Linked DNA regions of Rattus norvegicus. The protein of the gene in region 2 interacts with the protein of the main gene of each other region in a pairwise test. Links are inferred from orthologs where the notes say so. Each region holds a gene or a part of one and is shown on either strand. Other genes may lie near its edges.

What was found.
Region 1: the proteins of Bles03 (region 2) and Eif4h interact in binary tests that used the Homo sapiens proteins (3 or more experiments, as listed by UniProt). The two-hybrid records come from large-scale screens. The link is inferred for Rattus norvegicus from reciprocal best matches to the Homo sapiens genes C11orf68 and EIF4H.

What each region holds. Positions count from the first base shown.
Region 1 is NC_086030.1:27,715,339-27,727,865, reverse strand, and holds the start of Eif4h (eukaryotic translation initiation factor 4H), read right to left. Parts: upstream 8,175-12,527; 5' UTR 8,137-8,174; coding exon 8,078-8,136; intron 1-8,077. UniProt on the Homo sapiens protein: Stimulates the RNA helicase activity of EIF4A in the translation initiation complex. Binds weakly mRNA.
Region 2 is NC_086019.1:212,158,800-212,171,218, reverse strand, and holds Bles03 (UPF0696 protein C11orf68 homolog), read right to left. Parts: upstream 7,328-12,419; 5' UTR 7,219-7,327; coding exon 7,097-7,218; intron 6,455-7,096; coding exon of another isoform or gene 6,441-6,454; coding exon 5,684-6,440; 3' UTR 5,073-5,683; downstream 1-5,072. Other genes in the region: Drap1 (dr1-associated corepressor), read left to right, coding at 7,662-7,703, 7,935-8,007, 8,093-8,186, 8,466-8,585, 8,684-8,798, 8,939-9,027, 9,406-9,511.

The DNA.
Region 1 (12,527 bases), on a different chromosome or scaffold from region 2:
CAGAGTTCCAGGAAGCCAGACTAAAAAGAAACCCTGCCTAAAAAAAAACAAAAACAAAAACAAAACTGTAGTGGGATTCAGTTCAGAGCCAAAGACAAGGGGCAATGCCTGCTTTTGGGAAGACAGAAAGCTTAGCTGTCAGTCAAATAGCAAGGAAAAAAAAATCCTGTGGAAGTGCCAAACAGCCAGGATTCAGAGCCCTGATGAAACAAGCCAGCACCCTTCTCAGAGGTAGCATTAACCACGCATAAGTATGTCCTTAGCAGGGCCTGGGCTACGTGGTAAAAACCTGTCTAGAGTAGGAGCTCTGCCAATCACTTTTCTGAACATCAGTGGTTGTTTTCCTGTATGAAGTCCAGGCTGGCCAATCCTCCAGCCTGGATGATTATACACAGCACACTTCCATTTTGCCTGTTACTTTATAAAAGTTTGAAAGATCAGTTTCATAAATGAATTTAATTGACTATAAACCACTTCATAACTACCAAGTGCCATATAAAATTTAATAACAATCACAGAGCACTCAAGGTTCAGCTGCCACACCTGAGGTCATGATCTGAACCAGGCACTTGGGACAACACAAGGAAGAACAGAAACTGGGAACCCAAAGCACAGAGCCCAGCCCCTCTCCTGCAAGCTCAAGCCTACATTCTCAGACTCCTGGCTCTACCACACATGTCACCAAGCCATGGCTCTGTCCAATAACCTAGTGGTCGAACTAAGAGCAGCCTAGACATTCATGACACAAAAGAAATGTTTCAAATTATAATCCAGGAACTCTAACTTTCAGCTGCCAAGTGTGACCCAAATCCTTTAGGCTGTCAAGTTTTTCACCCCAACCAAATGGTGAACTGTCTGGAGGTCAGAGCAAGATCATGGAAGGCCAAGCCCCATACATGCCCTCTAGCAAGAATCTGGAAAAAAACAAAAAACAAAACAAAAAAAAAACCCAAAAAGCCCAAAAAAAACCCCAAAAAACAAACAAAACAAAAAATAAAAAACCAAACCACTACAGACAGAAATCCTCTACATCGTTAGGAACCTGAGTTCAATTTTGTAGACCAGGGAATCAGACTCAAAGACATGGAGGTTTCAACCAGACCAGAGGAGGAGTGACTAAGAAGAAACCATCAGATCCAGCACTCAGTGAAGGGCCTGTCTAACAAGCTTGAAGTCATGGATGCTGCCCTGAGTACCACACGCATCCAAAGAAACCAATGAAAGAAGCAGAGATTAGTGGAGGCTGGATACAGTCAAGTAAATGAAACAGAATCAAATTGGCCCAACTGTCCTGGTGGCACAGGCCTGGGATCCCAGTCACAGACACAGAATCTCAAATGAAGCCAGCCCCAGCAAGACTGTCAACAAAATAACCCAAAGTTAAAAGAAAAAAAAAAAAAGGTGTGTGTGTGTGTGTGAGAAGGATATATCTCGGCAATAGAGTATTTGTGCAATATGGACAAATCCCTAGGCTCCACCATGTCTATAATCTTAGTATTAAAGGCACACAAGCGGTAGACAGGAGCATCAGGAGTTCAAGGTCATCCTTGGTTAGGTGGGTAAATATGGAGACTCAGTCTCATAATTAAGTATGCCACGTGTGTTGGCACACCCCGTTATCCCCAGCACCGATGAGGCAGAGACAGGCAGATGGGAGTTCAGATTTTTGTGTGTTCATAACAGCTGGGTCTATATAGTGAGCTCACTAGTCTTCATTTATTTTTGGTGATTCATATAAACCACACACACACACACACACACACACACACACACACACACACACACACACACACTTCTAAGAAGACTGGGTGTGCTGAGCACACAGTGGTGGCACACACAGAGAGGCAGGTGGACCTCTGAGGCCAGAGTAGACAACAGCCAAGGCTACATAGAGAAACCCAGACTCACAAAACAAAAGGACTGGGTACATTAGCACCCACCTCCTATCCCAGTCAGGGCTACACATCACAAAAAGCCAACAAATACAACTCTCACCTTTCTTCCTGCCTTCCCTCCCTTCTGACTAGCCCTGCATAGGTTCTGATGATCCCCAACACTCCACACTTAGCTAAACCTTACAGCCTACACTCATCCTGAAGCTGGGGTTGCACACATACACAGAACCCAATGTAGATGATGCCCACCCTACCATGCAGCTGGGGGTTCGGGGGTGGGGGTGGGGTGGAGAGGAAGTTCGGATTATGCCACTCCTGCAACTGGAGTGCTTGAGGTTGGAGCAGGGTGATCAGAAGTTCAAGGTCATGCTCATGCCTAGGTTACATACCGATCTCAGGCGAATCATTTTAAGAGGGGGTTGGGGGGGCTGGGGATTTAGCTCAGTGGTAGAGCGCTTACCTAGGAAGCACAAGGCCCTGGGTTCAGTCCCCAGCTCCGAAAAAAAGAACCCCCCCCCCCAAAAAAAAAAAAAAAAAAAAAGAGGGGGTTGGGGAGGAGAAAGACTTGTCTATCAACAAGAGTAGGACCACCTCCCATTACTGATGGGCTGGAAACCTTGATACTAGACTGACTTCAGACATCATTGCATTTAGGGGACATTGTGTAAAGAGGCGTGTCAGCATCTGCAATTACAGACTGTTACTAAATTTCAAAATCCCAAACGCATCTGGGATGGTGAGTCAAACCTTTAATCCAAGCACCAGGGAGGCAGAGGCAGGATCTGTCCGAGTTTGAGGTCTGTATCTACATAGTGAGTTTCAGAGCAGCCAAGGCCACACAGAGAAACTCTCAAAACAAAAAACAAAACCAAACAACACATTAACAACAAAAATCAACCAAATATATGTTCCATAGGAATACCCTGGGAAGAATCCATTCAGCTTACAGGAGTGTTCTGAATGCTAGCACTGAGAGGCCTGAGAACAGCCTCCTGGATGTCCTTCCTCAGGTGTCAACCACAGCAGCACACTCAAGATGACAGCCTGGTGCCTCTTTACTGTTTCTGAGACAAGTCCACACATCTTAGGCTGGCTTCTAGCTATTAGCTACATGGCAGAGGCCCTTGAGTTTCTGACACTTCTGCCCCTCCATCCCAAGTGCTGGGATTAGACACACACACCAGGTGATTTACCTGGTGCTGGGGATGGAACCTGGGCTTCATACATGCCAGGTGCACTCCTAAATGAGCTGCACCCCCAGCTCCCACACAAAAATTCCTTATCAGTTATTTGTAACTACTCATTTATGTCACTGATAATTACACTAATTATAAAGAAAATTCAAGGCCGGTGATGGAGCAGCTGGCTAAGAGCATTTGTTGCTCTTGCAGAGAACCAGGGCTCCATTTCAGCATCCACAGCTATCATAATGGGGTTCCAGGGAATTGAACACTTTCTTCTGATCTGACACCAGCACATGCACACACAGACAAGTCATTCCTAACACATAATCAATCTAGTGAGGCCCTGGGAAGGCAGAGCCATGCAGTATCTGTGAACTGTGTCTGTCTGTCTCAAGATGGCCATGGCCACAGAATGAGATCCTGTCAAGAAAGTAAAGCCTCCTGGAGACCAGGCTGGCTTCAAACTTAAGAGAGCTCCACCTGCCTATGCCTCCCAAGCGCTGGGTTTAAAGGCATTTGCCACTTCCACCATGCCCAGCCAAGAAATTACATTTTTCCCTCTAGTCCTTATTGTCTGTTTTGGAGCCAGAGTCTAACCATGTTGTCCAAAGTCATCCTTTTAGTTCAGAATACAGAGCAGGGGTTGGGGATTTAGCTCAGTGGTAGAGTGCTTGCCTAGGAAGCACAAGGCCCTGGGTTCGGTCCCCAGCTCCGGGAAAAAAAAAAAAAAAAAAAAGAATACAGAGCAGCTAGGATAGACAACTCATGTCACCACATCAAGCCCAGGAATAAATACTTCAATTCGTACTTTCAACAATTTCTAGCAGACACATTTTCAACAATCTCAGTCCTTGAGACTGACATTCGTTCCATCTAATTCTCCTGCTTGATGGCTTCCAATTAGGCGCCCAGAAGCCTTTGTTGCAAATGTAAAATGTTACGAAAATGTTTCAAATGTAAAACCATTTCTTGCATTTTATATGGTTAATGACCAACAAAACCAGAAACTCTGGGCTGGAGAGCTGAGAGGGTTATGAGCACCTCTTCCAGAGGACCTGGGTTTGATTCCAAGCAGTCACATTTGTCTGTGGTTTCAGCTGTAAGGGATCTGGTATCTTCTTTCTGGCCACTGTATGTACAAACATGATGCAGAGACATACACTTTCACAAGAATACTCAACATACATGAAATTAAAAACCCAGACCCAGGGGTTGGGGATTTAGCTCAGTGGTAGAGTGCTTGCCTAGCAAGCGCAAGGCCCTGGTTTGGTCCCCAGCTCCAAAAAAAACAAAAAACAAAAAAAACAAAACAAAACAAAAAAAAAAAAAAAACCCAGACCCAAACAACAAAATTGGGAGTTCCCAAAAGACAATTTAGGAGCCAGCCTGATGGTGCGCACCCACCATTCCTGGAAGCATGGCAGCACTGAAGAGCAAGAGGTAAGCCAGGGATCCACAGAACAAGACCAACCTGGATGTATTGTTGCCCACCTCTAATGTTAGCGCTGCTCCAGGAACAGGACTAAAAATACTGTCTCAAAAAACAAAACAAACAACCCCATAAAACAAAGTCCATTTAAGAGTCAGTACAATCAACTCCCGAGGATTTGGAACTGTGTTTTGATTTGCTTGAGAACAATGCAGTTCCTGGCCCTTGGTCCAGGCTGAGGATGGATCCGCACATGGGTAGGCTTGAGGAGAAAGCCAAGTTCTTAGTCCTCACTTCCTGACAACTGCAGGACCACAACACATCTACAAAACAGGTTTGTGTCCTTCCAGAGAGGCATGTGACTAGAATCCCAGAAATTGGGAGGACAGAGACTGAGGCAAGAGCTCTGGAACATTGTAAAAAGTTTGAAGCCAACTAGGCCACACAATGAGATGATCTTGAGGCTTTAATAAAAGCTTTTGGAGAGGGGTTGGGGATTTAGCTCAGTGGTAGAGTGCTTGCCTAGGAAGCGCAAGGCCCTGGGTTCGGTCCCCAGCTCCGGGGGGTGGGGGGGGAGCTTTTGGAGAATATATAACTCCGAAAGCCAGGCTTAGGCCATAGCTATCGCCTCATGCTCTGGACCAGAGGAGAGGACCTCACACAAATGATTAAGAAGGGCCTCCCAGGGCTGGAGAGATGGCTCAGCCGTTAAAGGCTCACAACCAAAAATATAAGAAGGGCCTCCCAATATGTGCTGAGGCACCTATAAGGTTTAAGTGCTGCACAGCACAAATATAACTGCTGATAGAACATTACTAACACAGCAATTTAAAGATCAAAGATATCTAGTCACCTCTTCTACCATCCTGTACATCTCAGAGTGGAGAACAGGCCCTGGTTCAATATTCAGTTGAGCAGGTGAGGGGAACAAAGGGCTACAAAACAAAAAATCCATGCAAAACAAGCCAGCAGAAGCGGATCTGCTCTTCTGTAAGACATAAAATACTCAGTAATAATCTTGTTTTCACTTGGAATCCTCCTGCCTCAGGCTCCAGAGAGACCATCTCAAAAAACAAACATCAGACATCCCCTCACACACAAGACAAAGAGAAAGGGAGCACCTGTGTGCTGAGCCTGTAACCAAGCACCGAAAGGCAGACAGAGTTAGTTCAAAGTCATCCTACCTAGTGAGTGTACCACAAGCTAGGCTACAAGAGACCCTACCTAAAACAGAACAGAAGAGGGGGCTGTGCACAGGGGGCACCGAGGAGGCAGGGGCAGGAGTATCTGAGTTCCCAGCCTGGTCTACACAGCAAGTTCCAAGACAGGCAGGATTATAAAGAAACTGAGATGGCGCAGCTCTTACCAAGAGCATCAGCTGTTCTACCAAAGTACCTAAGGGTGGTTCACAACTCATCCCAGACATGCCTCTTTAGACACCAGGAAAGGAGACACATGTGGGCAAAAGCCTCCTATCAATAAATGAGTGAGCAGTACAAAGTCACTGAGAAACGTACTTCCAAGTGACAAGAAGCCAGCCAAAGGGCCTGGTACAGTGGTGCAGGCCTTTAAATCCAGTGCTTGAAGGTAGAGGCAGGCAAATCTGTTTTTCAAGGTCAGCCAGGGCTACCTACATAGTGAGATCCTATCCCCAAAAGAGAAACAGAACAAAGCCAGCTTGAAAATTTCAGTTCAAAGAGGTGTTAATAAGTAAAGGGACTTTCAAAACAGCTTTAAGGGATGCTTTAAGAGTGTTAAGACTCTCAAATTAGCTTTGAGAGAACATCTGAGAGGATGGCTAACATTTTCATCTGCCTGTAAGTATTTCAAATGAGTTGCATTTTGAGAGATTTGAATTTGTTTACTTCTGATGTTTTAAAATTATTCAAACGTCTCAACTGTGGCACGTGCTAAGTCAAAGGCAGTTTTCTTCCCCTTTGAGATTTAAAACTTGAGTTTCTCATGCCCCAACCTCTATAGCACTAGGATCTGGGGAGGAAAAAAGAACCCTTGAGTACATTTACTTTTTTCAAACTAGTAGAGAAAAACCAAACCAAACCCAACCCAACCCAAACTGAACAAGATGGCTCAGGCCTCTAATCCCACCACTGGGAAGGCAGAGGTGGGTTCAGCTCCAGGCCAGCCTGATCTACATGGTGTGTTCTAAGTTGGCCAGAATTACATACCCACTAAAGACCCTATCTTAAAAAAAAAAAAAAATTCCAACAGCAAGTTAGTACAAACCTATACCTAGAAAGCTATCCCCAAGGGCATTCATGGTAACACTTCACCTAACACCTATTTGTATTTTTATTAGCAAATAAAATGTGTGGCTCCACCTTACCCTGAACTTCTTCCTTAAGGAAGCATGAATAGTACCCAGTACACTACTGCAACCAAACAAGACGGTGACTCATTTTCAACCCCGGGTATTTAATGATGATCATTCTTCACCTAACAAAAGACACTTTGGGGGCAGCCACTTTGGAAACCTAACACCTCAGTAAAACTACAGGGATATTCTCTGGGCAAGTCACCTTTTCTGTAAAAAGGATAAAGGCCAAGTGTGTCCTTGAGAAATAAGACGCTTAAACTGACTGTCCCATAAAACTCCTATAAGCGTCTTTCTTTTCTTGAAGCAAGTGGCTGCCGCTTGTTTATTTCTATTGTTTGGCAGGAGACCGAACCCAAGACTTAGGACATGCTAGACAATCGCTCTATCACTGAGCCACAACCCCAGCTGGTAACGTGTTATTTAAAAGTGAACAAAATACCCGACGCTGGTTTTTTGGAATTATGCACCAAGAGCTTTCTATTCATCAGTAAAGGATTGGGGGAGGTTGGAGGATTGGTTTTAAAGTATGTTGTCTGTATCTGACCAGAATCAGAACGAAGCGAAAGCGATTCTCCAGGTCAGGGAAGAAACTAGGAAGAAATCAACAATTTCCGCCAGCAGACACGTAGTATCTGTCAATAAGGCATTCTAAACGCCAAGGAGGCTGAGAGAAAGAGACACGCACACTCCCCACTACGGTGTATTTGTTTTGGTTGAGGTCCGCGCTCCCTGTCTCTCTCGGTGGATCCGACGGTCCCAGGATCCAGACGCCAATTGGAAGGGAAATCACCCCTCTCGCGGCCCGCGGGCTTCACGTAGAAGCAACCCAGGGGCCCGGCCGAGCAGCAGGGACCCTGGAGAGGGACAGGCCGCCGCCGCCCGCTTCCGTGCTGCAGCCCAGCCCGGAGCGCGCTGAGGATAAAGCTGGACGCGGGCGCTGGTTTCCCCGGGAAACCCTCCGGCGTCGCTGCGGTCTAACTTTCGGAGCGAGGCCTCGCAATGTGCGGCGCGGAGCCGAGGGAGGGATGTGCGCCGCGAGCAAGCTAGAGCCCGGCAGCCTAACCGTCGCCAGCCGCTCCCGGAGCGCGCCATTTCCAGGCCTCTCCTCGGGCCTGGTCAGGCCGCTTCCCGCCGCCCGTCTCGAGTGAGCGCGGCAAGGCCGTCCCCTTCGAACCTCCCGGCACTCCGCCCGGCGGAGCCGCCAGCCTGCCAAACCGCGCCCCGCCCGCCTCACCCTCTACCGCCGCCGAAGCTGCTGTAGGCCCGATCGTCGTAGGTATCGAAGTCCGCCATTTGCCGTCTCCGCTCCTTGAGGAACCAGCGGGCCAGCGAGGAAGGACCCCGCAATATAACTCCTCCTCCCCCCTCCCGCCCCGCTACCGGGGCTGTCCGCCGCGCTGCCTGATCGCAAATCGCACGCACGCATGCGCGCGCCGCCGCGCCCGGCCTTGGGCCGACGGGGCCCGCTGCTGGCCCCGGCGCGCTCTGCGGCCCACGTGGTGGGGCGGCCAGCCCCCGGAGCGCCGCGCGCACGCTCTGCCCTCCGAGGCCCATTGTGTGCTAGCTTGAAGGTTTCACGCGTGGTTGCCTCTTACTGTCCTTGCCCCGCCCTGTCCTGTGGTCACCTACCTCTCTGGCATTGTCTGTCACCCTGCACGCTGCTTTCTAATGATCACTAGATTCAGTTTGGGTTTTGTGGAGCCCATGCTGGGCCGGAGCTGGAGCGCTGGAGCTGAGGATGACCTTGAACCCCTGGTTTTTTGCTCTCTCCACTTCCCAAGGGCTAGGATGATAGTGTGCCATTATGTTGGGCTCTCTGGTATCACCTTAGATTTATTAAGGTGCTCTAGGTCTGCCCCACTTGGTCCCACTTGGACACAGTTCTTCAGGACAAATGTCGCTGGGTAAAGCTTAAACGAAGACAACGTGTTCTAGGTAGAGATCCCTAGATGACCAAGGGCAGAAGAAGGCTTGTAAGTGAAAATGTGTGTTTGTGTGTGTGTGTGTGTGTGTACAAGATGAGATGAAGGGAAATATCTTTGTTTTTTAGAACTGCTACAAACTGGACATGGTGGTAATCCCTATTCTAGGGAGACCCAGACTAGTAGATCAAGACTGTAATTAGAGGTCAATCTGGCCAAAATAATGATGGTGCACACCTTTAGTTCCTGTATTGAGGAGGCAGAGACAAGTGGATCTCTGAGTTCAAGGCCACCTTGATCACATACGGAATTTCAAGCCAGCCAGGGCTATGTGGAAAGATCCTGTCTCACAAAACCAAAATAAAATAAATTTTAAAGACAAAACAAATTGTATTCTTTGTCTGGGTATTGGGGAGGGGTGGTGAAGATGAGGATATAGACTGTTTGCAGTTGAATGAATAAGAGATTAGATACGTTTTATTTTTGCAGAAGTCTCTGTTCTGAAACTTTGAAGGTGTTCAGGGCAGCTCAGGGAGTGAGGATGTGTGATCCCCCGATTCACATGGTGGCAGGAGAGAACTGACTCCAAGTTGTCTTCCGACCTCAACACAAGAACTGGGGTGTGATCTCTCTCTTCATGTTTTGCTTGCACTGTCTTTTACATTTATAGCACACACACACACACACACACACAGAGACACACACACACACACACACACACACACACACACACACGCTAGTAAGGACTAGGTATTTAGACCCTATCTCAAAAAAAAAAAAAAAATCAACCAAGGTGGACAGCTCCAGAGAAATGACTCCTAACCCACGCAGTGTTAGCAACGGCCTTTAATCCCAGCATTCTAGAGGCAGAGGTAGGTGGATCTATGAGTCTGAGGCCAGCCTCCTCTACAGAGTGAGTTCCAGGACAGCCAGGGATACAAAGAAACATTGTCTTGAAAAACCAAGGAGAAGGAGAACCTCTGAATGTTAACAAAACAAAACCCAGAGGCTGGAGAGGTTAAGAACATTGTCTACTGGGTTTGAGGATTTAGCTCAGTGATAGAGCGCTTGCCTAGCAAGCGCAAGGCCCTGGGTTCGGTCCTCGGCTCCAGAAAAAAAAAAAAAAAACCTTAAAAAAAAGAACATTGTCTACTGTTCCAGAGGACTTCATTCCAATTCCTAGCACCCACCCAATCCCATTGCAGCCCCAAATGGTAACTCAGCTTCAGGGGGATCTGACAACCTCTTCTAGCCTCAGAGTATCAGGCACACATGAGGTACACAGACATACATGCAAGGAAGACATCCACACATACAAAATAAAATAACCACAAGAAGCCCAGCCACGGGCTGGAGGAATGGCTCAGCGGTTACGAGCACTGACTGCTCTTCCGGAGGTCCTGAGTTCAATTCCCAGCATCCACATGGTGACTCACAACCATCTGTAAAGAGATCTGATGCCCTCTTCTGGTGTGTCTGAAGACAGCTACAGTGTACTTAAAATAAATAAATAAATAATAATCAAAAAGCCCATCGAGAATCCTGATTTGCATTGCATCTTCTCAAAGTAGCAAGGATGGCCACCACGTGAGAATAAGTGATTCTAGGGCTTTCTGGGGTTTCTGATGGAGATTAAAATATTTTGGAGTGTTCCAAGGTATAGTAGTTGCAATTTAAAAGAACCCTGTAGGGTTAGGGATTTAGCTCAGTGGTAGAGTGCTTGCCTAGCAAGTGCAAGGCCCTGGGTTCGGTACCCAGCTCCGAAAAAAAAAAAAAAGAAAAAGAAAAAAGAAAAAAGAACCCTGTAGAAATCAAGGGTGGCATTAGGTTATCAATCAGGAGACTCGAAGGGCAATTGGTTTAGGTTTGAGGCCAGCCCGGACTACAGATTGAATTCCAGTCAGCCTGGGCTACAAAGGGAGCCCTGTCTTACCAAACTGAGGTAGATAAAGTAACAATTATAAATACCACGTGGATTTAATTTTCTGCATATAATTGCTTAGCGTACGGGGTAGGGCACTGGAGGGTAGCGCAGGTGTTCTGCTGGGGAGTAAACGCCTTGCAAGGCGCAGGAGCGGATTTTCTCTTTTTCCCATTTGGGACCCTGGGATCTGACTCAAGTCCCTTTGTACACTGAGCCATTCTGCTTGCCCTCAGAGAATTTTCTTTTCAAAGCCGTCAGTATTGAGTGTTGAACCAAGAACCTTAGACTTTGGGAACATTCTAGCCCGGAGGCACATCTTCAGGCTTTTATTGTCTTCTGCTGTTTTTATTGTTTGCTTGTTTGGACCTAGGGATGTAGACCTGGATTTTTTTGGGGGAAGAATTAGTTTTCAGAACAGGGTTTCTCTGTGTAGTCCTGGCTGTCCTGGAATTCACTCTAGACCAGGCTGGACTCAAATTCAGAGATCCATTTGCCTCTGCCTCCAGAGTGCTGGGATTAAAGGCATGCAGCCCCATTTCTGACTATTTATCTAATAAATTAATCCATTTATTGTGTGTGAGGGGAAGTAGTGCACATGTCAAAGTGTATGTATGGTTAGAGAACAATTTTCAGAACTCGGTTTTTTCTTCTTGTGGTATGGACCCTGGGGACTGAACTCAGGTCAGGCTTGGTGACAAGTGCTTTTCCCTGCTGAGACATCTTATTGGTCTTTGCTTCTAGTGTTGCTTGGTTTGTTTGTTTTGATACAGGGTTCTGTGTAGCCCTTGCTGACCTGAAACTCACTCTGTAGACCAGACTGGCCTCGAAGTTGAGATCTGCCTGCCGGCCTCCACCTCTGGAGTGCTGGGATTAACAGATTAACAGCATACAGCCTACACCACCACTGCCTGGCTTATTGTCTTAATGTTTTTTAAAAAATTACAATTTTTATTAGTTTTTAAAATTTACTGGTACATGTGTGTGTGTGTGGAGAGAGGGAGAGAGAGAGAGGGAGGGAACACAGAACAAGTCTGTCCTTTCACACTACAGAGTCAGGATCGATCTCTCTCTCTCTCTCTCTCTCTCTCTCTCTCTCTCTCTCGCTGTTGCAAAGGCCTTCTCTACCTCTCGTCTTACCACAACGATGCTGGGATTACAGATTCGTGACACCTGCCATGTTACACGGATTCCAGGGATGGAACCCGGGTCATCCATCAGGTTTGGTGGAAAGCACCATTACCCAGTGAGTCATGTCTCGGGCCCTCAGGTATAGTTTGCTTGTCAGTTGTTGTCTGGTGAAGCTAGCTACTCTAATCATTCACTGCACAGTGATGGGCCTGCCCACACTGAACCATGTAGCTGATTCCCAATGGTCCTATAGGCTTAGAACAAAGCCTGAAAAACTCCTATCACCTGAGGATGCTGTCCCTATGGTAACCGAACTCATGCCTCCTGTTTGTGGAGAGGCTGTAAGTGAACCAACCACGGTTCAAAAACCAAAGTGCTGTGTGTGGGGCTAGGATGTGGCTTGTTAGAGTGCTGATCTAGCATGCTAGGAGCCTTAGTGAGGTAGGACCATCTGAACTTGGAGATGTGGGCTATGTGTCAAAGAAAACAGTGTAACAAACTACTCTCGGATACATAGTAGCTCACAGATGAAGCCAAACTCCTGTCATTGGTCATTGTGTAGCTATTGCCTCTGAACTGAGGGAGGAAGAGAGGGGAGGAAGCCTTCGAAGATTCCCGGAAGCTCCTGAAACTTAGAACTTTTGCAAGCCCGCCCCACTGGCCAGATTATGTTCAGTTGCAACAGCAGTCGCAATTGCTAGGGAGAGAAG
Region 2 (12,419 bases):
CCCCTGCCTTCTCATCCTGCCCAACCTCAGGTTTCCTATACCCTCCTAGGAGGCCAGTGGCCAAAGAAACACCAGGTAAAGTGTTTGTCAGACTAGTGCCCTTAGCTTTACCCTTCAGTGCCTAGGGCATGTACGTCACAGAAGTGGGGAGTTTCCCTCCTCAGTGAATCAGCCGTGTGACCCAATCTTCATCCCTGCCAAGGCCCCTCCCAGTCAGCAGGAGCGGGGTGCAGCTGGCCTACTAGGAAAATCCCCCAAATCCTGCCAAAGCTTTGGTTGAAGCATCTCCCAATTCAGCTGTTTCCTGTATTCCCGAATTCTGCCCCAGGTCCTAGCTGGAGTTGGGGGTCAAATAGAATCTCCCCCTCCTAGAATATCCCTTTGTCCCAGGGGTTTGAGGAATGCATAGCAGGGTATGTCTTTCTGTCTCTCAAGCCTCAGTCATAGCTCTCTGTTTTATTAATGGAGCAGACAGAGGGGCTTGCCCAAGTTTGGCCAGCCCCTACACAACCCAGTGTTTCCATAATTCCATGTAGGCAGGAACTAGCTATGCAAGAGAAGCCCTGCTAGCCAGGGTTTTGGGAAACCCTTAGCTTGTCGAAGGAATCTGTGTTTGGGCCCAGCCTATCTTCCAAGTAATTCTGAGAACCTACCTTGTGTACTTCCCAAGTGAATCTTATATCCTTGCAGGGCAATATTTCTTCTTGTAGCACCCCTACCCTCAGAGCACATTCAGTAGCAAGACTTAACCATGTAGTAGGTACTCTAGAGTTGAATGATCTGAGTTCAAATCTTGGCTCTGCCATATGCTTGCTGTGCAACCTTGAGACAATTAACTGGAATTCTCTGGAACTCTGTTTCCCTTTCTGCAAAAATGGTAAGAATACCAGAGCTAGAGGCTGGAGAGAAGGCACACAGGAGTTAAGCACTGGCTGTTCCAGAGGAGGCGAGTTTGGTTCCAAGCATCCACATGCAGATCAAAACCATGTGTAACTCTAGTGTAGGGAATCCAACATCCTCTTCTGACTTCCCTGGATAAGAACGCATGTGGCACACAGGCATAGTCAAAGGAACAACATCCATACATATAAAATAATTTAAAAATAAAAGAACTAAATGGAGCTTAGATAATGTATGGCTTCCATACAATCACCTTGGATTCAAGAATGTTATTTGGTGATTGCACCAAGCTTGACTCTGACCTGGATGCTGAAGGTGCCCTGAGGATAAACCAGTTATTGTCCCTAAGAGTCTCCAGACATATAGTTGAAGGGCACCCATGGGAGAGCCACATGGTTAGAGAACTAGTGGGTCTGAGATGTACCATTAGTTAGCGGTGATGGTGTCGGGCATGCCAACAGAGGCTACCCATCAACAAGGGCATTGAAGTGGGAAAAGACAGAACATGGGCAGGAGAGCTGTGTTCTAGAGCAAAGATGAACAAAGAAAGATACAGTGGAGAGATCCAACAGGTGGGATTCACAGTATCTGGATCTGAGGCAATTCTTTCGTTTAATAATCTCTGAAGCCGTTATTCTACACTGGGAGATGAAATGTAGACAGTGCTCCTGCCTTAGTAGAGTACAATCTGGGTCTGTGGCTCAGTAGTTTGGGGACCAGTGGCAATTGCTAAGTAACAGCAGATTCTGTGATTGGTACCACACAGCAGGTGTTCAAGGACAAAGAAAGCCTGAGGCCCGAGGCTCCATGCCAAGGTGGAAAAAGATGTTCCAGTTGGCTTCAGTTGGGTGCAGAGACAGGAAGATGTGCCTAAGGACAGCAGAGAAAGCTATTGGGGGCATGGTCAATGCCAGCCCAGGACAGTAGACCTTGTTTTTAGTTGCTGTAGAATCCCAATAGGACAGGAATGTGGGCATCTCTATGGTAGAATCTGTGAACCTGGCTTATGGGATAGGACAGAGATGTGGGGTGGAAGAACCAAGTTAGTGGCTGTTGTTGTGGTTTGAGAGAAAATGAGAAAGGGCAAGGGGCCAGGCAAGGCCAAAGAAATACAGAAGAGGGATGTGTCACTTTGTAAAGAAAGAAAACCTGGGCTTTCCATACCACATAGACATCTTTGTGAGAACACAAGGCTTTGCCAGGATGCCACTCCTCTGCCTAGGGAGAGTTGACCCACTTTTGTCAAGTACAAAGCACTGACAATCAGGCAGGCAGGGCACTTGGCTCCAACTCTGAGCTCTGGGGATTTCCCAAGTTTGGGCTGAGGTGGACTCAATCCTGGGGAGGCTCAGGATAGGGAGGCAGCTGGGGAGGGGGTTAAGCTAGCACTCATGACTCAGCCACTTCCACCCAGTCACCCCAGTGGCATCTCCGCTCCTCTGCTCCAAATTCCAACTCAGTGAGGCTGCTGGAGGCTGATTCAGCGCTGGCACAGCACGAGAGCAACATCTCAAGTTCTCTGCCAACACCTCTGGCCCTTGACCAAGGCCTGGGAAGGCACTGGTCTGAGGAGACAGGACAGTGCACAAGCCGGGCCCTTGAAACTCTAGCAGTCATGGAGAAGAGGATGGCTAAGAGAAAAGATCACATGAGTATCCTGCTCTGTGGGTTGTGTTTGTCAAGACAAGAACAAGGGTCAAGGACCACACTGCCTGAGAAGGGAAGGATCAGAGCCAAGTCCCAGCTCTACTCTCCAACTCCATCACCCAGATCATCCCTTCTCCTCTTGGCCTCAATTTCCCTCCCCCACCTCCCTTATTGAGATGGACTTGTAGCTAGGACTATCATTGAACTTGCTGTGTAGACCAGGCTGTCCTCTAACTCCCAGAGGTTCGTTTGCTTCTGTCTGCTGGTTCTGGAATTAAAGGCTTATACCACCACACGGTAGCAGTTCCTTGACAGCAGGATGTGGCCAGCATCTCCTTAAAGAGGTCCTGAGAACTGAGGACGGCATGTGTAAAGTTCTTTATAAACTGTTGAGTGGCTTCTGGAAAAACTGTCCATGCATATTCAAGCTGGTCACTGGCTAGGTTGCTCCAGCCCTGGATGCTGAAATCCAGCCCATATCTTTTTAGAAATCTATGTGTACCACCTGGAACTGCAAGGAGAGTGCCTTTATCTAAATCCTGCAAAACACACTTGGTGGATCAGACCTGTTAATCCCAGCACTCAAGAAGCCGTGGCAGGAAGATCAGAACTCAAGTTGTGCTACACAACAAAACCCTGTTTCAAAAGGCCAAAGTTGTAGGAGAGGGCCTGCGGATGCAGCTACATTGGCAGAATGCCTAGCAGGCACTGGGCTTAATCTTGGTCCCTGTATAAACCACGACAGCACTATATAAACTTGGGTGTGATGGTGCACACATGCAGCCCTAATACTCAGAGAGTGTAAGCAGAGGATATTAAGTCAAGATGAACACATGGGAGGCAGAGTCAGGCCTTGAGTCCAAGGCCAACTTGGTTTACATAACAAGTTCCAGGTCAGCCAGAGCCATATAAAGAAAACATGAAAAGACAAACTGATCGGTGGTGGTGCCCACCTTTAATCCCAGCACTCAGGAGGTAGAGGCAGGCGAAAGTCTTGAGTTCCAAGCCAGTCAGAACTACAGAGAGAAACCCTGTCTCAAAAGACAAAAACAAGGGGTTGGGATTTAGCTCAGTGGTAGAGCGCTTGCCTAGGAAGCGCAAGGCCCTGGGTTCGGTCCCCAGCTCCGAAAAAAAGAACCAAAAAAAAAAAAAAAAAAAAAAAGGACAAAAACAAAAGGAAAAGTCTGAACAACTGAGGTGGTTCAGATGATAAAGGTGCTTGCTTGCTGGATGTTCGGTTCCCATACAATGGAGGAAACTGACTTTTTTTTTTTTTTTCCCCCCCGGAGCTGGGGACCAAACCCAGGGCCTTGCGCTTGCTAGGCAAGCGCTCTACCACTGAGCTAAATCCCCAACCCCGGAAACTGACTTCTTTTTTTTTTTTTTTTTTTGTTGTTTTTTGTTTTTTTGTTTTTTTTTTTCTGGAGCTGGGGACCGAACCCAGGGCCTTGCGCTTCCTAGGCAAGCGCTCTACCACTGAGCCAAATCCCCAACCCCCGGAAACTGACTTCTAATGGTCCTCTGACCCCCAAATATGTGAGACGAAACAACCTCCATACACCCCCAAGTATGCTTTATTGTTTTCAATTGTAAAGATTCATTTTTCCATGAATGGGAGTTTTGCCTGTATGCATGTCAGAGCAGCATGTGTGCAGTGCCTGCACAGGCCAGAAGAGGTCATTTTATCCCCTGGAACTAGAGTCAGAGGTTGTTACTAATCACCATGTGAATTGTGGGAATCAAAATAAAGGTCTCTCTGGAAGAATAATTCTTGCTCTTAATTGCTCAATCAGTCGACAGCCCCACCCCCATACCTCTTTTGAGATAGAGTCTCATTGTATAGTCCAGTCTAGCCTGGAACTCAGAGAGAACCACCTGCCTCCACCTCCCAAGTGCTGGGATTAAAGGCTATGAATTTTTTTTTAATGAGGGTCTTTTTACGTAGGTAGCCCTGGTTGTCCTGTCCTGGAACTCACCTTGTTAAACAGGCTGGCCTTGAACTCATAAAGATCCACCTGCCTCTGCCTCCCAAGTGTTGGGGTTAAAGGCACTATGAATAGAATTTTTTAAAACCTAAAAGCTGGAGATGGTGGTGCAGGATTTTAAACCCAGAACTTTTGGTAGGCAGAGACAAATGAATTTCTGAGTTACTGGCCAGCCTAGGGTACATAGTAAGTTCCAGGCCAGCCGAGGCTACACAGTGAGACCTTTTCTTTTTTCTTTTTTTTTTCTTTTCTTTTTTCTTTTTTTCGGAGCTGGGGACCGAACCCAAGAGACCTTTTCTTAATAAAATAAAATGACAAATAAATATACCTTGGGACCAAAAGAATATCCCCCTTGGCCTCCCTGGAAAGACCTAAGAAACTGATTTTGATCCATGGGTTACAGAGGGAGAACAGCTTTAAAGAGGTTCTCAGCTGTGGAGCCTGGCCTCTGCAAAGCAGCATACCATCTTCACTGCTGAGGGAGGAAAAGGCTAGCTTGGTCTTTCTCGAGAGACAATGCAGGTAACCATCAGGACAGTATTTTTAAAAAACACTCAAGACACAGACCCAAGCTGGGTTTTATTGAAATGCCAGGAGCAGGCACATGTCAAGGGAGCCAGGGAAGGAATATTGGTGATGCAGGCTATGAGTGTGCAGGGAGGAGCAGACCTCATGTCCGACCCTGCATCTCCTCTTGGCCAGAACACGTTAGGGTCCCAATAGCATGCTGAGTCCTGTAAGGGTCCTGCCACCTGGGCCATGATGGCTCCAAGGGCAGGGACTGGAAGCACTAAGTTTTCTCCCTTCTGAGGGAGGAAAGAAAAGGAAGAATGCAGGCTAAGTATAGTAGGGACAGAGGTGGCCAGGGCAGACTTTCTTGAGTATCTGCACCCAAGCTGTGGTCCTGGGCAGTGGTGGGGAGCAGCATCAAAGAGGCAGCCAAGGGCCTGGCCCTCAGAGAGCCAGAGCCCCAAACCTGTGGAGGTTGGAGTTGGCCCTGCACAGAGGTTCAAAGGGACTGAGTGCAGGCAGTTCCCAAGTCAATGAGTCCTCAGAGCTAGGGAGCTCAGCCTTCTTGGGACAAGGAAGAGAAGAAAGAAGGATCCATCCCCAGCTGGGAAGCAAAAGGTGGTCTCTCCTACTTGGCCCCATTAGGTCAGTTCTACATTGTTGGCACGATCCAGCACTCGAGAGCCACGGGCATTGCCTCCAAGCTGGAAACGGCTCTCATAGAGAGTGGGACAAAGGTGCCAGCGATTGGCTCGGTAGATGCCCAGGTAGGTGTAGACATCAGGTTTGTAAGTGAGCAAGCACTTAATGCCTGCAGCACGGATGGCAGAATCTGCCTCCAGTACTCCCAAGCGGTCCGTGAAGTCATCCGTGTAAACACAGATGACCTGGCGCCCACCCTCCTTGGCCCGTGGGCTCACCTTGGCCACCTGAAGACGGCCCTCAACTACAGCCCGGGCAATGCCAGCCCAGGCATGGTCCAGCTTGAAGCCAGGTGCCAGGTGAATCAGCCACTTGCCGGAGAGCACATGGTGGGTGATGGCCAGCTGGCGCAGGGTACCTGGTGTGATGGGTCGCCCACTGGTCTGCAGAGCCTCCCAGGCTGCCTGCAGCCCTTGTACATCCCCTGAATTGGGGGTGTAACCCTGCCCATAGGCTGCAATCCAGCCCACAGGTTCAGAGTTGGGTGAACCTGGGTCCCCATAGCGAGTAACTTGAGATGGTGGGTACTTGGCCAACCAGGCATCCAGCTCTGTGGCAGGTGTAGTACGGGCATCAAATACCAGCCAGGGGTCCATGTCAGCTGCCATGGCCTCTGCAGCCAGGTGCTCAGCAGTGAAGCCATCCTCACGACCACCTGGAGAGTCCTCCTCTTCCAGCTCTTCATTTGGTTCCATCCTGTTGTGAGGGAACTGAGTCAGAAGTTTGAGACAGTAAATAAAAAGTACTGGGTCCTAGAGGGTGCCAGGCACTGCTTTTAACTGTGGCCTTGGGCAAGTCTTAATGTCTGTGCCTCAGTTGCTTCATCTTCACAATGGGATAACAACTGATCCTGTCTAGATTTGTCTCTAGAATAAAATGCCTGAGGTGGAGTCGCTATTGTCAGTACTACTTTCACTGCTTAAAAACAAGGAAATTGAAACTCTGAGAAAAGGGGCTTGCCCAAGGTCATGTCTGTAAAGACCGTTAAAGCTTAAGTGTTAACTGGCACAGGACTCTGCTACACCACAGGACTAGAGTCTCGCAGGTAGCGCGGCGCTGCAATTTAATGGACGTAGGCAAAACGCAGGTTCGCCAATCTCAGAGGCTGGCTGGAGAGGGGCCAGGCCTCCCATGGTGAACTATTTGGGGCACACTTATCAACACCAAGACTCTGAGACCCAGAGAGGACAGCGGCCCATCTGGGGGTCAATGGGCAACATCCGGACTCGAACCTGATAGGACAGAGTCTGCGCGAGGACCAGGCTCCAGCCTTACCACACCCGCCGCCATTAGTGTTCACAGGTAAGGGTTGCCTCCACCCCCGGGCTGCCCTCTCGTCGCCCCACAGTCACCTCCGGCCTTCACTCCGCTCCGCGCCAACCCAACTTCGGGCCCGGCTCCGTTCCTGCCCGGGGTCTGCGCCGCCACCCCCGCCGCGCCCCGCCCCTGCCACGGCCGCCGCCGCCGCCGCCATCTTAGGGTCCCGCCACCTCAACAACAACTTTATAGACAAACACAGTCACGGGGCGGGGCCAGAGGCGGAACCAGAAGGCTAGGGGCGGGGGCTCCAGGGGAAGGGGCGGGCTGAGTTCAGGGGCGGAGCCAGCGCGAGAATCCCGGGAGGTGCAGGTCTTCAGGAGGCGGAGCTAACGTTCGTACTTTAGCTTGGAGGGCGGGTGGGCGTGGCGGGCGATCCCTGAGAAGGACGCGCACCGCCCTAGAGGATCCAAAGCCCAGCGCTTGGGTTTTGGGAGCTGCTTTTCTACGAACGGCACTAGGACCCTGCGAGAAGTGGTGTGGGCGGAGTAGGCGGCACCAGGACCGGGGGGAACCGCGGCCGGCTGGCGGCGAACAGGCCCGGGGCCTGGAGGCTGCGGGCGGCGGCGCTGGGCCCGGCGCAGCGTGAGAGGCCCCGAGATGCCAAGCAAGAAGAAGAAGTATAACGCGCGGTTTCCGCCGGTGAGCACGTGGCCGGGATGGGCCTCTGCAGGCTAGGTTCCTGGGAGGCTTGGGCCCAGGTCCTGCTGGTGGGGGGACGGGTGCTTTTAGGTGTTCATGGCCTGACGCCCCGCCCCTTCCATGCCCTCCTGGCTTAGTGCCCCCCGCCCTCTTCTCCTGGGATACCCCCCGGTTCACTCAGCTCCCCTGTAGAGACGCAGGAGACGAGCTCTGTCCCCTTCCCCTCGGCAGGCGCGGATCAAGAAGATCATGCAGACAGACGAAGAGATTGGGAAGGTGGCGGCAGCTGTGCCTGTCATCATCTGTATCCTACTAGGGGCTGGCTGGGCTGAGGGGCGTGGGGCGGGACTGCGGCACTCCCCTTTTTGGATTCTCCTTGACGTCCTCAGCCCGGGCACTTGAGCTCTTCCTGGAGTCTCTGTTGAAGAAGGCTTGCCAGGTGACCCAGTCTCGAAATGCCAAAACCATGACCACGTCCCACCTGTGAGTGGCCGCTAAGCTGGGCTTTTGAGGAGGCAGTGTTCTGACAGGGGGAGTGGTGCGCTGCTGAGGGAGGCCAGCTTTGTGGGTTTGGACTGATGTAGGAGAGATAAGGTGTTTCAGGTGGAGGGAACAACCAGAGCCAAGCCGCCCGCCCGGGAGGCCTGGTGGAAGTGGGGAGGGGTGTTCCACTGTACTGACACGAAAAGGTTGTTTCTATGATTCCGGAACATCAGTGTTTTGGGGGCCCTTTTTGAACACCTTCCTCTCCCACTTCTACAGGAAGCAGTGCATTGAGCTTGAACAGCAATTTGACTTCTTGAAAGACTTGGTGGCATCTGTGCCTGACATGCAGGGTGATGGGGAAGACAACCACACGGATGGGGACAAGGGTCCTCGAAGGTGGGTAACCAAAACCAGGTATATAAGTGGGAAAGGCCAAGGCCACAAGGGTTGGGGGTGGCTGGGGGGTGAAGAAGGGGAGAGAGTCCTCTGTGCAGATGGCCTGTACCTTCCCGAAGGGGCCGGAAACCAGGCAGCAGTGGCAGGAAGAATGGAGGCACAGGAAGCAAAAGCAAAGACAAAAAGCTGTCCGGGACAGACTCAGAACAGGAGGTGAGTGAGGCCGGTGGGGAAGGCCTGGTCTCATCCTTGTTACAGCCTTTGTATCTAACTCCATTGCCTTACCAGGGTTCTGGGCTCCCCAGAGAAGGGCCCAGACCTTCTCATTAACCTGACCCTTGCTGTGCTCACAGGATGAGTCTGAGGACACAGATACAGATGGGGAAGAAGAGACACCACAGGCCCCACCCCAAGCCAGTCACCCCCCTGCCCACTTTCAGAGGTGAGCACCCCAGGGATACCAGAAAGAGGCACAACAAACTCCCCAGAGCCAGTTAGTTTTACTTCCCTAGCCATTGGTGGTGGTGGTGGTGGTGGTGGTGGCGGCGGTGGCGGCGGCTGACTTTAGGGAATGGAGGGGAGAGAACACTATTAAACACAAGAGATTGTTCTGAGAAGGCCTTGCCTCCATGGTAGTGGGTCGGGGAGAGAGTCTGGAGAATGGTCTTTGCTGGGACCTTCCCTCCTAGGGGGGTTGTCTCCATGATGTAATGGGTGGCTTTGACTACACCTGCTTCTGTCTCTGGAGAATGGGGGTGGGCCTGTGGGTTGGGCACAGCACAGTTCCAAGCTCTGATTTTCTCCATTTTCTGTCCTGCAGCCCTCCAACTCCCTTCATGCCCTTCACCTCTCCTCTGCCTTTACCCCCAGCACCTCCCGGCCCCTCAGCACCTGAGGCAGAGGACGAAGAGGATTATGACTCCTAGCGCCCTTTAACCCTGGCCATATGCTCTTTTAGTTAGTATTAGTTGCTTTGGGGAGAAGAGAAAGATGGAACTGTTCTTAAATTTATTAAAAAAAAAAAAGGATTTTGGTTTCTTTTCATCCTGTGTCCAGGGCTTCGTGGCTGTATTGCCCATCCCCCCACCTCCCCACATGGGGGCAGCAGGAAGGAACATTGTTGGGGCAGCCAGTGATTGAGTTAAAACAGGGAGTCTGACAGGAGTCTGGGGCACTGAAGAAAGGAATGTGGTCTAGGGACTGAGTTGCCACATGCTAAGGGGTGACCTCTCATTGTGTGGGACCTTGGGCACCTTCTTCCCCTCTCTGGACTGCTGAGAAGGGACAGATGGAATCAGTACTGAGACGGGGCCTTGAAAAGTATAGTGTTGGGCTGGAGAGATGGCTCAGCGGTTAAGAGCACTGACTGCTCTTCCAGAGGTCCTGAGTTCAAATCCCAGCAACCACATGGTGGCTCGCAGCCATCTGTAATGGGATCCGATGCCCTCTTCTGGTGTGTCTGAAGACAGCTACAGTGTACTTATATATAATACATGAATAAATCTTTTTAAAAAAAAAAAAAGAAAAGTATAGTGTTCTGCAGCCAGTGCAGTGACGGGCTCGGCACAGTGAAGAGACGGGTACCTGAGATAGCAGAGGGTCTGCGAAGCATCTTTGGAGCCAAGCAGTCTGCCAACTGTATCTGAACAGCCTGGGCAACCTGTGTGCCAAAGGCAAGAGGTACACCTTCAGGGAGCAGCAGCCATGTGGGGTTCCCAAGTGTAAAAGCCCTAGAGGGGATGGTAAGTCATCTGTCAACAAGCTTACCAGCTTCTTCCTGATGGAGGCATTCAGAGACCCTTAGGGAATGTGCTAGGTGTGTGGGTGCGGACAATGGTGGCTGTAGTCTGGGGAGACTCAGGGTAGGCCTTAGGCTTGAAGATAAGCTGCAAAGGACCAAGGGAGGATATCACCTTTGCACCTTTTCTCATTTTCTTCTGCTCTTTGGGACTCCTTTCCAGCTGAGGGACACAGGAGGAAAAGACAAGATTTAGCTTGATGATCTCAAGTTTGGCTGTGATGAATTTGGGGTGCTCTTGACACTGGATTGGTCTTGTGAGAGTTGAGGCCTAGAGACAGGTGTGTGGATGGAGGGGAAGGCACCAGACAGGAGCTGCGGGGTCCTGTGCAACCCATATGGTCTGGTAGAAGGGAGAGGACAGCTGCCCAAGTATCCCCGAAGGAAGAGCCTCTGAACCCCTGCTTCAGCACTTAGTGAGGGAGTGGGAAGCTGAGAACATGCTGGGGCTAAGAAGGGTCTAAAACGCACACGGTATGTTTGCCTTTACTTTTAGAAGATTGTCTTACATGTGTGGGTGTTTTTCCTGCATTGTGCACTGCATGTGTGCCTGGCATGAACAGAGGCCAGAAAAGGGCATTGAATCCCCTGGAACCAGAGTTATATAGAGATGGTTGCCAGCCACCTAGTGAGTCCTAAGAGTCTGAACCCTGATCTTTTGGAAGAGCAGCAAGTACTCTTAACTGCTGAGCATGTCTCTAGCCCCCTGTTTAAAGGTTGGTGCCCCGGCACTGGAACAAAAAGGATTTAAAAATGGCAGAAACTTAGGTTTCCAGAGAAGAGGGGGTAAAGGGGCAGGAAGGAGATGGCAGAGCGGGTAGATGAAGGTTGGACCTGTGGCCAACGCCAGCATAAGAAGGGAGAGGGTGGACAAAGGGGTTTTGTGGGGAGCATTGAAGAGCCAGTAGTTTAACGGAGACTGAATTGTGAAGCAGGAGGTAAAGTGCCTGTGCTATGTAAGGGAAGAAGGTAGGCTAGGGCAGTGGTTAGAACAGTGGGAAGACTTGAGACATGATTTAAGAATGCCTGGGTGCTGGAGATAGACCTTCAAGGGTGCTGTCTGCCTTCCTTCTACTCCCAGTTTCATTATAGTGCTCCTGTGAGTCCTCCACCCCAGCATGAGATGTGGGGAGCTGACTCCACTTCTCAGATTGAGGGACAGGCATGATGCGGCCTGGTCAGTCAGTGCCACACTCTGGCTGTGCTAGCTGCTATAAGGTTGGGGTAGACCCCAGCACCCCTGAGCTAGTGATGCTGGTAGAAGGAGAGCTGGGGACTGGAAACGTCTTATCCACTCTAAAAGTTGAGGAGGAAACCAATGCAGGAGCTAGAGCCTGAGTACACTGGAACCCTGGTACCTGGTGTGCAGTGTTTTCTAGTCACATGAGCTGGGAGGCTTCTTTCCACTTCATACTACTTATACCTAAAAGAACTCTGGGTAGCATGGGGACTGTGCGTAGGGTGTGATTCCTAGGAGCAATGTTTTTTAGTAACAGATGGGGACAGACCCAGGGAAGGCAAATAGATGGACACCATAGCAAAGGCCGAGGATTGAGTCAGAGGAGGAAGAGGCTCCTAAGAGCCTATCACTGATGTTTATCCAAGTAGAGGATTCTGGGCCTGGAGACATGGTTCAGCGGTTAAGAGCACTTGCTTGCTCTTGTAGAGGACCCTGGTTTGCTTTTCGGCACCCACTTGACGGCTCAACCATCGGTAGCTTCAGTTCCAGGAGACCCGAAGCCCTCTCAATGCACATACATTGTCACACATACATGCAGGCAAACATACATAAAATATTTTTTTAAAAAATGGGGGGGTTGGGGATTTAGGCCCTGGGTTCGGTCCCCAGCTCCGGAAAAAAAAAAAAAAACGGGATCCGGAGCAGGTGTAGTGGTACCTGTAACCCCAGTAGAGGCAGAAGAATCTCAAGTTTAAGGTTGGCCAGGGCAGCACACTACAGCTCTGAGTCCCAAGAACAGAAGATCAGTTCTGAACTCAGGGTTGAGAGGATGATGGGAAGGCGAGGAAGCCTGGGT